Linked DNA regions of Anolis sagrei. The protein of the gene in region 2 binds, or shares a complex with, the protein of the main gene of each other region. Links are inferred from orthologs where the notes say so. Each region holds a gene or a part of one and is shown on either strand. Other genes may lie near its edges.

Region 1 (7,480 bases), on a different chromosome or scaffold from region 2:
GATCCCCAGGTTGTGCCAGTCAGCTTTCGTATGATATTGCTTCTAGCACCCCCTTTTTGCTTGATATTTAGGCAGTGCTTCTTGTAGGTCAGAGCACGGTCCAGAGTGACTCCCAGGTATTTGGGTGCGCTGCAATGCTTCAGTGAGATTCCTTCCCAGGTGATCTTCAGAGCTTGGGATGCTTGTCTGTTCTTGAGATGAAAGGCACATGTCTGTGTTTTAGATGGATTAGGGATCAGCTGGTTTTCCCTGTAATAGGCAGTAAGAGCACCTAGAGCTTCGGAGAGCTTCTGTTCAACCATCTTAAAGCTCCCTGCTTCAACAGTGATGGCACAATCATCAGCATAGATGAAACTCTCTTCTGGCAGTGGCTGGTCATTTGTGTAGAAGTTGAACATGGATGGAGCAAGCACGCTCCCCTGAGGCAGGCCGTTCTTCTGTTTCCGCCATCTGCTTCTCTGGCCCTGGACCTCAACAAAGAAGCTCCTGTTTTGTAGCGGGTTTCCTATGAGGCGGGTGAGGTGGTCGTCCTTTGTGATATTATACATTTTTCTCAGGAGAAGGCAGTGGTTTACAGTATCATAAGCTGCTGACAGGTCTATGAAGACAGCTCCTGTGATCTGCTGCCTTTCAAAGCCATCTTCTATGTGCTGAGTCAGGTTCAGCACTTGCCTAAACCAGCACTTGCCACATCATGAAATACAAAATAGCAAATATAACAATTAAAAACATGAACATTAATAAATAAAGATTAAACAGTATACTTACGATCCATTTAGCCTATTGCCAGTCTGGTGGCTATTTATCTAGCCATAAACTAATGATTACTCCGCTTAACTTATCCAAATCCACTTCCAAGCCATAGACAAACATTATCAATTGTCCTTTAACCTAACTGCCCAAAGGCCTGGTCCCACAACCACGTTTTTACCTTCTTTCTAAAGGTGAGGAGGGATGACGATGACCTAATTTCCCTGGGAAGCGAATTCCACAGGCAGGGGGCTACCACCGAGAAGGCCCTGTCCCTCGTCCTCGCCAAGCATGTTTGAGACAAAGGCGGAGCCGAGAGCAGGGCCTCCCCAGAAGATCTTAAGCTCTGAGGTGGGCCGTAGAAGGAGATACGTTTGGACAGGTACGCTGGACTGGAGCCGTATAGGGTTTTATAGGTCAAGACCAGCACTTTGAATTGTGCTCAGAATTGGACTGGCAGACAGTGGAGCTGACACAACAGGGGGGTGGTGTGCTCCCTGTATGACGCTCCAGTGAGTAATCTAGCTGACACCCATTGAACTAATTGCAGTTTCCAAACAGTCTTCAAAGACAACCCCACGTAGAGCGCGTTGCAGTAATCTATTCGGGATGTGACAAGACCGTGGACCACCGTGGCCAGATCCGATTTCCCAAGGTACGGGCACAGCTGGCACACAGGTTTTAACTGTGCAAAAGCTCTCCCACCCACTGCCGAAACCTGGAGTTCCAGGCTCTGCTATGAGTGCAGGATCAATCCCAAGCTGCGAACCTGTGCCTTCAAGTTCCTCTGTAGTTCCTCTTTAGTTCTTATTTTCCCTTTGCTGCATTTTCGTCAATAAAAGTCTGTTTTGTTGCATAAAGAGGAAAATAACAGAAAAGGGAAAAAGATGCAATTCCTGGATTAAAAACATAAGAGTCCCCCCCCCCCCCCCCCCCCAATGTAGCACGGTGAGGCACCAGCATACTTAGGCAGATCTTGTGAAACTATAGCTCCCAGGGTTCCATAAGATTTAGCCTTGGCAGTTAAAGTGGTGTCAAATTGTTTTTTACAGCAGAGGGAAAACAATCAGGGACACCTGGAATATTGTGTCCAATTCTGGGCACCACAATTGAAGAGAGATATTGACAAGCTGGAATGTGTCCAGAGGAGGGCGACTAAAATGATCAAGGGTCTGGAGAACAAGCCCTATGAGGAGCGGCTTAGGGAACTGGGCATGTTTAGCCTGAAGAAGAGAAGGCTGAGAGGAGATACGATAGCCATGTATAAATATGTGAGAGGAAGCCACAGGGAGGAGGGAGCAAGCTTGTTTTCTGCTTCCCTGGAGACTAGGACGCGGAACAATGGCTTCAAACTACAAGAGAGGAGATTCCACCTGAACATGAGGAAGAACTTCCTGACTGTGAGAGCCGTTCAGCAGTGGAACTCTCTGCCCCGGAGTGTGGTGGAGGCTCCTTCTTTGGAAGTTTTTAAACAGGGGCTGGATAGCCATCTGTCAGGGGTGATTTGAATGCAATATTCCTGCTTCTTGGCAGAATGGGGGTGGACTGGATGGCCCAGGAGGTCTCTTCCAACTCTTTGATTCTATGATCTAATCACCTCTCAACAAAAGATTGCTCCAGGCACGCCAGGCCTTCAAACGCTAATCAAGGTGGTCAGTTGAAACATTCTCACCTAGCTCCAGCAGACAATAGTTCTTTGTCCCACCCTGGTCTTTCCACAGATATATAAACCCTTTTTCCCTAGTTCCAACAGACTTCACTACCTCTGAGGATGCTTGTCATAGATGCAGGCGAAACGTCAGGAGAGAATGCCTCTAGAACATGGCCATATAGCCCGAAAAAACCTACAACAACCCAGTGATTCCGGCCATGAAAGCCTTCGACAATAAATCAGGGACATCTAATCACCTCTCAACAAAAGATTGCTCCAGGCACTGCCAGGCCTTCAAATGCTAATCATGGTGGTCAGTTAAAACATTCACACCTAGCTCCAGCAGACAAGAGTTCTTTATCCCACCCTGGTCTTTCCACAGATATATAAACCCATTTTTCTAGTTCTAACAAACCTCACTACCTCTGAGGATGCTTGCCATAGATGCAGGCGAAACGTCAGGAGAGAATGCCTCTAGAACATGGCCATGTAGCCTGAAAAAAACTACAACAACCCAGTGATTCCGGCCATGAAAGCCTTCGACAATACATTGTTTATATTTTTGCAATGCAGGCCGCATGTACACTTTCAAGCAATGCAGCTTGAACTGGATTATATGCGTCTATACTGCCATATAATCCAGTTCAACCTCCATTATAATTGCAATGTATTCTTAGCCACAAAGGTGGACAATTTTGGAACTTGGGGGAATTTTGGAACAGTTCGGATTTGGGGGTAAATTATGCTCAATCTTTCTCTATTATCCATCTGTGTTTGTTTACAATAAACTCTGTGAACCACGTGATTTTCTACTATCCGCAGGAATCAGGCATTTTTTTTTCTCTTTCCCAGAGTAAATATTCCTCCCTGAACAGACATGCGCAGTAAAGACCACCATGGAGCTGTTATCCTTTAGCAACTGTATATATATATTTGGGATTTATAGGAGAGACATTCCACGCAAAATAGATGCGCTGTGAGCAGGATTCGAACCTACGCAGGGAGTCCCCATTGGATTTCAAGTCCAACGCCTTAACCACTCGGCCATCACAGCAGTACACAAGGATACCTCTGTAACCTTTCCAAAAGAAGGCAACTTGGGCAAGAATGTGTTTAGGTACATCTACATTGTTGAATTAAAGCAGTTTGATACTACTTTAACTGCTATGGAAACGTGGGTATTATAGTCTACCATGGTCTTTTTAGCTTTGACTGCCAAAGAGTGCTAACTGCATTAATTAATTGTTTTTTCCCTAAATTTAGAATTATCCAATTATTAGCAATTATCCAAGAGTGCATCTGCACTGCAGACTTAATGCAGTTTGACACCACTTTAGATGCCATGGGACTTGTAGTTTTAAAAAGTCCTTCCTGCTAAAATGGGCTGGTGCCCTACCAAAACTACAAATCCCAGGATTCCAGAGCGTTTGTGAAATGGCACTTAAAGGTATTTATTATTAGTTTAAAACCATTATTTTAAAGTATTTATTTACTTACTATTATTTACTAAAAGTCCTTCCTGCTAAAATGGGCTGGTGCCCTACCAAAACTACAAGTCCCAGGATTCCAGAGCGTTTGTGAAATGGCACTTAATAGTATTTATTATTAGTTTAAAACCATTATTTCAAAGTATTTATTTATGTACTATTATTTACTAAAAGTCCTTCCTGCTAAAATGGGCTGGTGCCCTACCAAAACTACAAATCCCAGGATTCCAGAGCGTTTGTGAAATGGCACTTAAAGGTATTTATTATTAGTTTAAAACCATTGTTTCAAAGTATTTATTTATTTACTATTATTAAAGTCAAACTGCATTAATCCTCCTCCTGAGAAATAGTAATCAGTAATCTCAGCAACTGGAAAAGAGCCTTTTCCTTTGAGAGGAACGAAATGGCAAGCAAGAGGTTAAGAGGATGGGCATTTACCCACAGTCAATATGGTCGACTAGGCTTCGTCACGCTTGGTAAAATCTCGCGATATTCTAGGAAGCGGGCAAAACAGAACAGAACAAGCCTCCCAAGCGGTTGCTATGGGCAACGGCGCGGCCTAGAGTTGAGGCCTTAAAATCGAGCCCTGGGGAAAAATTGAATGTTCCCGCCAAAACAATAGGTGAGTAAAGTGGGGAGGATATGGGGCTCTATTAATTAATTGGTTCATTAATTAATATGATGAATTCCATTAGGAATTGTAGTTGAAATAAAGGACAGGCCTCTTAGGCCTTGAATGGTTATACAGAAGAGGGAATTTAAGCAGATTGTACTGTTTGTACAGCATAGTGTCTAGATCCAGGGAAGTCATGCTCCCCATGCTCTATTCCGCCTTGGTTAGACCACACCTGGAATATTGTGTCCAATTCTGGGCACTACAATTGAAGAGAGATGTTGACAAGCTCGAATGTGTCCAGAGGAGAGCGACTAAAGTGATAAAAGGTCTGGAGAACAAGCCCTATGAGGAGCGGCTTAAGGAGCTGGGCATGTTTAGCCTGAAGAAGAGAAGGCTGAGAGGAGACATGATAGCCATTTATAAATATGTGAGAGGAAGCCACAGGGAGGAGGGAGCAAGCTTGTTTTCTGCTTCCTTGGAGACTAGGACACGAAACAATGGCTTCAAACTACAAGAGAGGAGATTCCATCTGAACATGAGGAAGAACTTCCTGACTGTGAGAGCCGTTCAGCAGTGGAACTCTCTGCCCCGGAGTGTGGTGGAGGCTCCTTATTTGGAAGCTTTTAAACAGAGGCTGGATGGCCATCTGTCAGGGGTGATTTGAATGCAATATTCCTGCTTCTTGGCAGAATGGGGTTGAACTGGATGGCCCATGAGGTCTCTTCCAACTCTTTGATTCTATGTTTAATTGGCAGGTTTTAAATGTGTCAAGTGTCTTCAGGTGCAAGGCTTTGTTTTGTTTTTGAGGGAGCGAGTTATTATAATGATAATAACAATAACAACTATTATTATTATTACAACAATAATAATATTTATTTACTTCATTTATATACCGCTTTTCTCAGCCCTTGGGCGACTCAAAGCGGTTAACAATAGCAAAATTCAATGCTCAACATCATAAAAACAGTTAAAAAACAATTAAAACAATGACATAATAAACAATCAATTAAACATAGCTATAACATCTCGTTAGCGTCTCATAAGTAGAATCGAGATCCAATCTCATCATCCGTTGTTCCATATTCCTATATTCATTACACTGCCTATTTAAATGCCTGCTCCAATAACCAGGTCTTCACTTTCCTCCAAAATGCCAATAGGGAGGGGGCCAATCTAATTTCTGTAGGAAGAGCGTTCCACAGCCAAGGGGCCACCACTGAGAAGGCCCTGTCTCTTGTCCCCACCAGACGTACTTGTGATGCAGGTGGAACCGAGAACAGGGCCTCCCCAGATGATCTTAACGTCCTAGCTGGTTCATAGAAGGAGATGCATTAGGACAGGTAAGTTGGGCCAGAACCGTTTAGGGCTTTATAAGCTAATGCCAGCACTTTGAATTGTGCCTGGTAGCAAACTGGCAGTCAGTGGAGCTGGCGCAGCAGATGAGTTGTATGCTCCCTGAGCACCGCTCCTGTCAGTATCCTGGCTGTCGAACGTTGGACCATTTGAAGCTTCCGAACAGTCTTCAAAGGCAACCCCACGTAGAAAGTGTTGCAGTAGTCTATACAGAATGTAACCAGAGCGTGGGCTACCGTGGCCAAGTCAGACTTCCCAAGGTACAGGCGCAGCTGGCGCACAAGTTTTAACTTACAAGGATGTTTTAAGTTTTACAAATAAACTTTATTTATACCCCGCCACCATCTCCCCAAAGGGACTCGGGGTGGCTAACATGAGGCCAAGCCCAAGGATTACAGTACAGCAAAGTAAAATACAATAGCAAATAATAATAACAAAGTAAAATATATTATAATTATATATTTTATATTACATGTAATATTGCTACTAATATTATAATATAATAGTATAGTACAATATAGTAATATATAATACTTATATTGTACTATGCTAATAATATAATATATTGTATGTATATATATCTTGTAAGCCTCTCTGAGTCCCCTTTGGGGTGAGAAGGGCGGCATATAAATGTCGTAAATAAATAAATAAATAAATAAAATACAAACAAATACACAATAAACAAACACAAAATAAAATAGTGGAAGAATAAAAACAGAGTGGGCAGGCGAAATGCACAGGATAAAATTGATAAAACCCTGGGTGAGATTAGGTAAATGGAATATTGTGTATCTGGGGGAGAACTCAGAAGGGCGAACAATGTGGTTGACCTTCACTAAGGGATGAGAGAAAGTGCATCATGAGGACAGATCTGTACTGGGACGGACATGGTGTGGGGATGATGATGATGATAATAATAATAATAATCTTCATTTGTAGCCCGCTACCATCGCCCCAAGGGACTCGATGCGGCTTACATGAGGCCAAGCCCAAAGTACATCAAACAAAATATCAAAGCACAACATCAATAAGCAATCAATCAATCAAATACAAATAATATAAATCGCATAAACAAAAAACAGTCAATAGTGACATAAACAATTTTAAAAATGGCCGGGCCAAATGTAATAGATTAAAATTGAAAATATGTTGATGTGGACAAGGTAAAATATAACTAGGATAGGATTATCATGTCCACTTAAAAGTTTGTGCCAAGTCCACACCAATCACACAAAATTATTATTATTAGCACCTATCATCCCATGCTAACACTTTGTAGTGATTTGTTTGTTTTTTTCTTGTCCTTTCTGTTGACAGGATTGCATTGCCCTTTGGATGCTTGGAGAGAATGCCTTTGGTCAGCGGAGTGGTACCCGCACGGTTCCTGACCATCACGGCCCACTTGGTCATCGTGATCACCATCTTTTGGTCAAGGGTGAGAGACCCATCCCCATCCTTGGGCTGCCATTCCAGCCTCCTCAAATGTGCTTCCAATTGTTTGTGCTTTTTAAAGACCTCCTCCTGTGTGAAAATGAATTATGCCTCCCTCAAGTGAACTTCAGCAAAACACCTTCCCTTCCCGGACAGATTGGCAATTCATCTAGTGATGTTGAATGTCAGTGA
Region 2 (7,541 bases):
AGGAAGGGAGAAAGGAAGGAAGGAGAGAAGAGGAAGGTAAAGCAAGGGAAATGAGGAAGAAAGGAAGGAATAATGGATGGAGGGAAGGAAAGAAAGAAAGAAAGAAAGAAGGAAAGGAAGATGAGCAGGGGGAAAAGAAAAAGGAAGGGAGGAAGGAGAAGGGGGGGGAATGTAAAGGAAGAAGGAAAAAAGAAAGGAAGGAAGGGAGAAAGAAAAGGGAAGGGATGGAGGCAAAGAAAGAGCCAGGAGGAAGAAGAGAAGAAGAAGAGAGGGATAACTGAAGCCTTTTGGGCCGACCTGGGCCGGCGCTCCTGCCGCCTCCTCCGGACATTGGCCATGCGCTCGGCCAGGTAGGAGGGTTTTTCCTCAGCCGCCGTGGTCACCTTCTGGCAATGCTGCAAGGCAAGAGGAAGAAGGCTCACGGACCCAGCTTCCCTCTCTCAGGGCTCCCCATAGATGAGACGGGCACCATACCTCCTCCAGGTTGGTGAAGCGGTCGTGATCCGTGTAGGTGAAGATGCGGGCGTTGCTTCTCCCGCCGGTCTCCTCCAGCCGCAGGACCTCCCGGTGGTACTGGCGGTCAAGCGGTGTCTGGCAGGCCGCGGCGCTGCGGTAGAGGTCCACCTCGAACTGAGGGCACATGGGACGGAAGAAGGAATGAAATGGTATGATTGGGGCAGAGGAGAAGTGACCACAGAATTTTTTGCTGTACATAAGTATAGAATTGAAAACAGGAGCCATCAGAATGTTATGAGAATATATGGGATATATATATATTAAAAGGTGACTGTGACAATGTTATAATTTATGTGTATATTTATATATAAAGGTCATCCAGTCCAACCCCCTTCTGCTTTAACAGAAGACACTGTCCGATCCCTCCCAACAGGTGGCCATTCAGCCAATAGATAGCCATAGAATGAATGAATATGTGTGTGTGTGTGTGTGTGTGTGTGTTATAGAACCCTACAGTTGGAGGGACCTCAAGGATCATCCAGATAAATGGCCACAGAATATCTATATCTAGGTAGATATAGATATATGAGATATATATTATGTATATCAGAGAATCCTACAGTTGGAGGGACCCCAAGAACCATTCAGTCCAACCCTCTTCTGCTTTAAAGGAAGACACCATCCAAGCCCTCCCGACAGATGGCCATTCAGCCAAAAATAGATGGCTATATATTTATTTACATATATACATATATACGTAGAAATACACACACACATGTATGTATAATATCTATGCATTTGACATAGACTTGCCTGGCGGAAGAGCTTCTCCATCCAAACCCTCCTAACAGATGACCATTCAGCCAAAGATAGATGGCTATACACATATATATGTATGTGTTTATAATATCTATGCATTCGACTTAGACTTGCCTGGCAGAAGAGTTTCTCCATCCAAACCCTCCCAATAGATGGCCATTCAGCCAAAGATAGATGGCTATAGATATTATATCTATGTGCATGTGTGTATCTATAAATATATATATAATATCTCTGCATTCGACATAGACTTGCCTGACTGAAAAGCTTCTCCTGCCATCCAACTACGACCTCTTCGCGCTCCTCCTCCGGACAAGGGGCACCTGAAAGACACAAGAGTAGGCCGACGGGTCAAGCATGCGGCTTTGGCCAATGTGGTCCCGGCCCAAAAGCCCAAAGCAGTCACTCACTTGCCACAGGGCCAAGGGTGGCCAAGCCGATGAGCTGCTGGCCGGAGGAGGCTTGGAGCTGCTGAAGGAGAAGACTGGTAGACGTCACCCGCTGGAGGCCGACCCTGCGTGGGAGGACAAGAAGAGCCAACCTCTCACAACATAATACTACTACTACAAATAATGTGTGTGTGTGTGTTGTGTGTATACATATATATATAATATACCTATCTATATATATAGGTATATAAAATATAGCATACAACATATATCATACATATTATTAACATATAATATTAATCTATAACATGTACAATATATAAAAATTATATTAAAACATTAATCTACAATATATAACATCTATAACAGGTATATAAATAACACTATTAATATAATATTAATCTATAATATATAACATATTATATAATAATAATGTATATAATATTAATCTATATAACATATAATATATAGTAAATAATATTAATATATTACAGTATATAAACCATTAATATGATACACATATATATTATTAACTTATTACAATATAAATCTATAATATATAACACTTAATATATAATACACATTATAATATGTATAACACATAATACGTAATATATAATATATTACAATATAAATCTATAATATACAATATATATAAAATATAATACATTACCAAATAAATCTGTAAAATATAATATTATGACTATAGATTATAAATATATAATATATAACATAATATATAAATAATGTTATAAATATAGAAAAATGTATAATACATCACATATTTTATAAATTTTATTTATAAATAATATTACTATATTACAATAGAAACCTATTATATACAATATTAATAATATTTTACAGTATAAATCTACAATATATACATTATATATAAAATAAATAATATTAATATATTACAATGTAAATTATAATATATACCATACAATTTATAATAATAAATATTATTAAATAAATATAATAAATATTATTAATCTATTTCAATATATAAAATTACTATTATTATTATAAATATATTACAATATAATTTTCTATAATATATAACATACAATATACATAATAAATAATATTAATAAATTTTGAAAATATATTTTAATTTTTTTTTAGTTTCCATATGTTTTCATATGGAAACTGTTTTCATATGTATATGTGTATCTATCTATCTATCTATCTATCTATCTATCTATCTCTGGTTGTGGGAGTCCCTTTCTCCCTGAGGTGTTTTGTTGAAGAAGAAACAGTGGCGCCCAACTCGAGCGAAGGCTCCGGAGTCCGCACTAGGCCTCACGGGAGAAAAGGGGCGATTAAAATGGCGGTAGGCCTCACCGGACGCGGAGGTTGCCGATGGGGTCCCGGGAGCGATAGACGGCGACGCCGGTGTCCTCATTCCACGCCGCCTCTGCCATACCCAGAGCCTTTTTTCTTTTTTTCCTACGCGAGTCTCAGGCTGCGCTGTTCCTGCTAGGCCGCGTTTCCATGGAGACGGCAAGATGGCTGCGGTTCTCAAAAGTATCTGGCTCTATTGAACTCCAACCCCCACAATCCTTTGCGCAGCAGTTAACATTGTAGAGCCCGGCTCTGTCTCCCTGGAGCATCATGGGAGTCGTTGTCCGGTGGGGGAAAAGACCTAGAAACAGAAATGACAGGCATTTGGGAAAGCGGAAGTGACGCCATGACGTCGACGCGCGTATAGAGAAGGCGGAAGAGAGAAGGAAGTAGAGGCTGAGGGAAGGTTCAGAGATAAAGAAAGGAGGAAGGAGGACAAATAGGGGAAAAAGCAGGAGGGTAAGTCTCAGGATTAGTATTATGGTATGGCTTAAGAGTAAGAGTAATAAGAAGAAGAGTGATTTTTGAAAATGTGTATTTATTTATTTATGTGTGTGTGTCTCTTTAAATAGAGAGATATCTATGCATGTATATGCTTTAAGCGCCTCTGTATATCTTTCTGCATGAATAGAAATAAATATAACTTGTGTGTATATCCTATCTTATATATGCAAGTATAAAATGTATAGTATAGAATCAGTGTGAAATAGTATAAATTAAATATAGTATAAAATAAATAAAAATATAGAGTAAAAATATAATATACAATAAATATATAATAACATATAAAATATATAGTATAAAATAAATATAAAATACATGGTATAAAATATAGCACAAATATCTATAAAATAATGTATATACAATATATAGAATATTTATTTATTTATTTGCCATATTTATATACCGCTCCTCTCAACCCAGAGGTGACTCGAGGCGGTTTACAGTTGGCAGTCAATTATTATTATTATTATTATTATTAACTTTATTTATACCTTGCAAAGGACTCGATGCGGCTTACAAAGGCCGCCAACAATACAAAATACAATACACAATAAACTCATAAGCAAATAATAAAACATCAAGCAAAACAGAAAATAGTAACAATGACGCTGTGACGCAATTAAAACCAGGTCGGGCCAAATGTAATGAACACAATTTAAAAGTGCTGGACTTGACAGGTAATATGAGGCGGTATTTGGAGATAGGTGCAAGTGCAGATAATCCTGAATCTCTAAGGTGCATTTGGGACTTAAGCTAGGAGTTTCCTATTCCGGAAAGGCACACTGGAACAGCCAGGTCTTCAGGCTCTTCCTAAAGATAGCCAATGTTGGGGCTTGTCTGATGTCCCTGGGGAGAGAGTTCCAGAGTCAGGGGGCTACCACAGAGAAGTCCCTGTCCCTCGTCCCCACCAAACGCGCCTGCGACAAAGGTGGGATCGTGAGCAGGGCCTCCGAATGATCGAAGGGAGCGTGCGGGTTCATAAACAGAGATGTGGTCGCGCAGGTAGGCAGGTCCCAAACCATTTAGGGCTTTATAGGTAAAAATCTGCACCTTGAATTGGGACCGGAAAATGAATGGCAACCAATGGAGCTCCTTGAACAGGAGGGTTGACCTCTCTCTGTAAGGAGCACCAGTTAACATCCTGGCTGCCACCCGCTGAACTAGCTGAAATTTCCGGGCCGTTTTCAAGGGCAGCCCCACGTAGAGCGCATTACAGTAGTCCAGTCTAGAGGTGATGCCCCCAAACAACATAAATACAGTAAAAAACATTACATATAATATAAACCATATAAAAGCAATAAAACAATAAAAACCATCAAACACAAGCTTTCAGCGTCTCATCACTAAAATCATTTTTCTGTCACATTTTAGTATAAAAGAAATGTAGTATAAAATAAATATGATGAGCACCAACCGCCAGAGTCAGACACAAAACAAAATCTATGCTTATATAGTACAAAAATTAATATAAGCGTATTTACCCATCTGTGTGTGTGTATCTATCTATCTATCTATCTATCTATCTATAACATTTGTGCATGTATTTGATAATAATAATAACTTTATTTTTAACCTACCCTCTCTCCCCAAAAGAACTCAGGTGTTTATGTACACACACACACACACGTGAGTGTATATATATATATATATGTGTGTGTGTGTGTAGTGTATGTATATGTATGTGTGTGTGTGTGTATATATATATATATATAATTTATGTGCTATACATAATATAAATGATGTGCTTATGTACACACACACACATATATATAGAGAGAGATAAATTGTGTGTATATTTGTATGTATATATATATATAAATCATATGTTTATGTATATATATTTAGAATATAAAAATATAAAGTATGCTTATGTACATATATATAAAATACAAAAATATATAAATTGTGCATGTGTGTCTCTATATAAAATTATGTGCATAGATGTGTGTGTGTATATATATATATAATGTAAATTATGTGCTTATGCACATATACCTGTATTTTAAATATGCATGGTATATGTATGTAGGGATTTGTTGAAATGTAGGAATTTGTTGAAATTTACTTTCTAGAAGTAAATTTAAGCTATGTTATTTGTATATAAGTGTGTATATTTTTGTCTGTGTGACTATATGTCAGTATGTATATCCATACCGAGCATTCCTTAGCAGAGTATTAATTTATTTGTAATATACACATTGCACTATGTAACAATTTGAAAAGTGTTCTGTTCGGAAATGTTATTTCCTGTTCAATTGCCTGGCCTTTACTTTGAAAGTAGCTGTTCTACTCCAGAAAGTTTGTTTTTGTGACATTGAATAGATTGGGACCCAATGATGGGATATTCATTGAAAAACTAGAGCAAAAGGTGCTGCAGGAGGTCATGTCAAAACAAAAGTGTGTGCAGTTTAATAAACATTTCCCATGTTTTATAAAATGATAGAACCACTTAGGAAATGACATTGATAACCTAGGAACAAAAATCATAGTGTTACATAGTTGCGTCCTTGGAGCCCACTGCACCATATGGACTTCACCTTGTTCAGCAAAGCCAAGGTGGGTCACTGCTCTGCCCGCCTTCCTCTCTCCCCACAGCGCAATGAGCCTGAAGTCGGAGCGCCGTGGGATCCACGTGGACCAGTCTGAGCTGCTCTGCAAGAAAGGCTGCGGCTACTATGGCAACTCAGCCTGGCAGGGCTACTGCTCCAAGTGCTGGCGGGAGGAGTACCAGAAGGCTCGGCAGAAGCAGATCCAGGAGGACTGGGAGTTGGCCGAGAGGTAAGCCAGCACTGCAAAGCCTTGTCCATCCTTTTTTCTGGCCAGTGGAGCTGCAATGGAGGAGGGGCTGCTGCTTTTGTTGAAGGCTTATTAACAAAAGACCCTCATAAATGTACAGCAGAATAACTTATCAGCAGTGGTGTAACCTAGCACCAGCAGCCCAAAGTGACAAAAAGAGCAAACCACACAGACCAATGCTATGTCTTCCATAGGAGGCTTGTCCTTATAGTAAAATAATATGGTTGCACTATTTACAAGAACAGGGTTTCCATATCCTGAACAAAGTTCTTTATACTTCCTTCTTTGCTTCCATACCGGGTTTCTTTCTCATGCAGATAAACAGAGCCTCTGTTACACAGGAGTTTCCACAGTAGGTTTATACACACAGCAGCCTTCACATTGAAGCTTCACACATGATGGTCTTCAACCTAGGGCTTCTCTCACACAAGCTTTTAATACCAGGCCTTCTTAAACTGAGGCCTACTAATGCTTAGGTCTACACCACACAGAGGCCTTTCTCCCACTGAGGCCTTCTCACACTGAGGCCTACTCATACTGACACCTCTCTCACACACTGAGGCCTACTAATGCTTAGGCCTACATCACACTGAGGCCTTTCTCCCACTGAGGTCTTCTCCCACTGAGCCTTACTCATACTGACACCTCTCTCACACACTGAGGCGAACTAACACTAAGGCCTACATCACACTGAGGCCTTCTCACACTGAGGCCTACCCATACTGACACCTCTCTCACACACTGAGGCCTACTAATGCTTAGGCCTGCATCACACTGAGGCCTTTCTCCCACTGAGGTCTACTCATACTGGCACCTCTCTCACATACTGAGGCCTACTAATTCTTAGGCCAACATCACACTGAAGCCTTCTCCCACTGAGGCCCACTCATACTGACATCTCTCTCACACAGTGAGGTGAACTAACACTGAGGCCTACTCATACTGAGATCTATCTCCCACTGAGACCTCTCACAGACTGAGGGCTACTAAGCAACAGGCACATCTGTTTATATTGAACTGCAGGGTTTTTTTTTTGCGTCATTGCATCCTTTTAACCCTTTCAGTGCTTGACTCACATTTTTGTAATTAATTTCTGGGAGTCCATTGGACTCCCAGACAGTCTATATTCCACTGGATTTGGAAGGAAACCCCTAAGGTAATCCAGTCCAACCACCTTCTTCAAGGCAGGAATATAAATTACTATGCTGTTATTTGTTTGTTTGTTTGTTTGTT

What was found. The genes of interacting proteins can lie anywhere in the genome.
Region 1: MKS1 (region 2) and TMEM107 share a complex: the UniProt entries of both Homo sapiens proteins name them as parts of the tectonic-like complex. The link is inferred for Anolis sagrei from reciprocal best matches to the Homo sapiens genes MKS1 and TMEM107.

What each region holds. Positions count from the first base shown.
Region 1 is NC_090026.1:7,267,684-7,275,163, forward strand, and holds the start of TMEM107 (transmembrane protein 107), read left to right. Parts: upstream 1-4,374; 5' UTR 4,375-4,510; intron 4,511-7,174; 5' UTR 7,175-7,205; coding exon 7,206-7,292; intron 7,293-7,480. UniProt on the Homo sapiens protein: Plays a role in cilia formation and embryonic patterning. Requires for normal Sonic hedgehog (Shh) signaling in the neural tube and acts in combination with GLI2 and GLI3 to pattern ventral and intermediate neuronal cell types.
Region 2 is NC_090031.1:28,095,992-28,103,532, forward strand, and holds the start of MKS1 (tectonic-like complex member MKS1), read right to left. Parts: upstream 3,188-7,541; 5' UTR 3,089-3,187; coding exon 3,009-3,088; intron 1,790-3,008; coding exon 1,686-1,789; intron 1,599-1,685; coding exon 1,531-1,598; intron 631-1,530; coding exon 475-630; intron 396-474; coding exon 298-395; intron 1-297. Other genes in the region: RABGEF1 (rab5 GDP/GTP exchange factor), read left to right, coding at 6,112-6,290. UniProt on the Homo sapiens protein: Component of the tectonic-like complex, a complex localized at the transition zone of primary cilia and acting as a barrier that prevents diffusion of transmembrane proteins between the cilia and plasma membranes.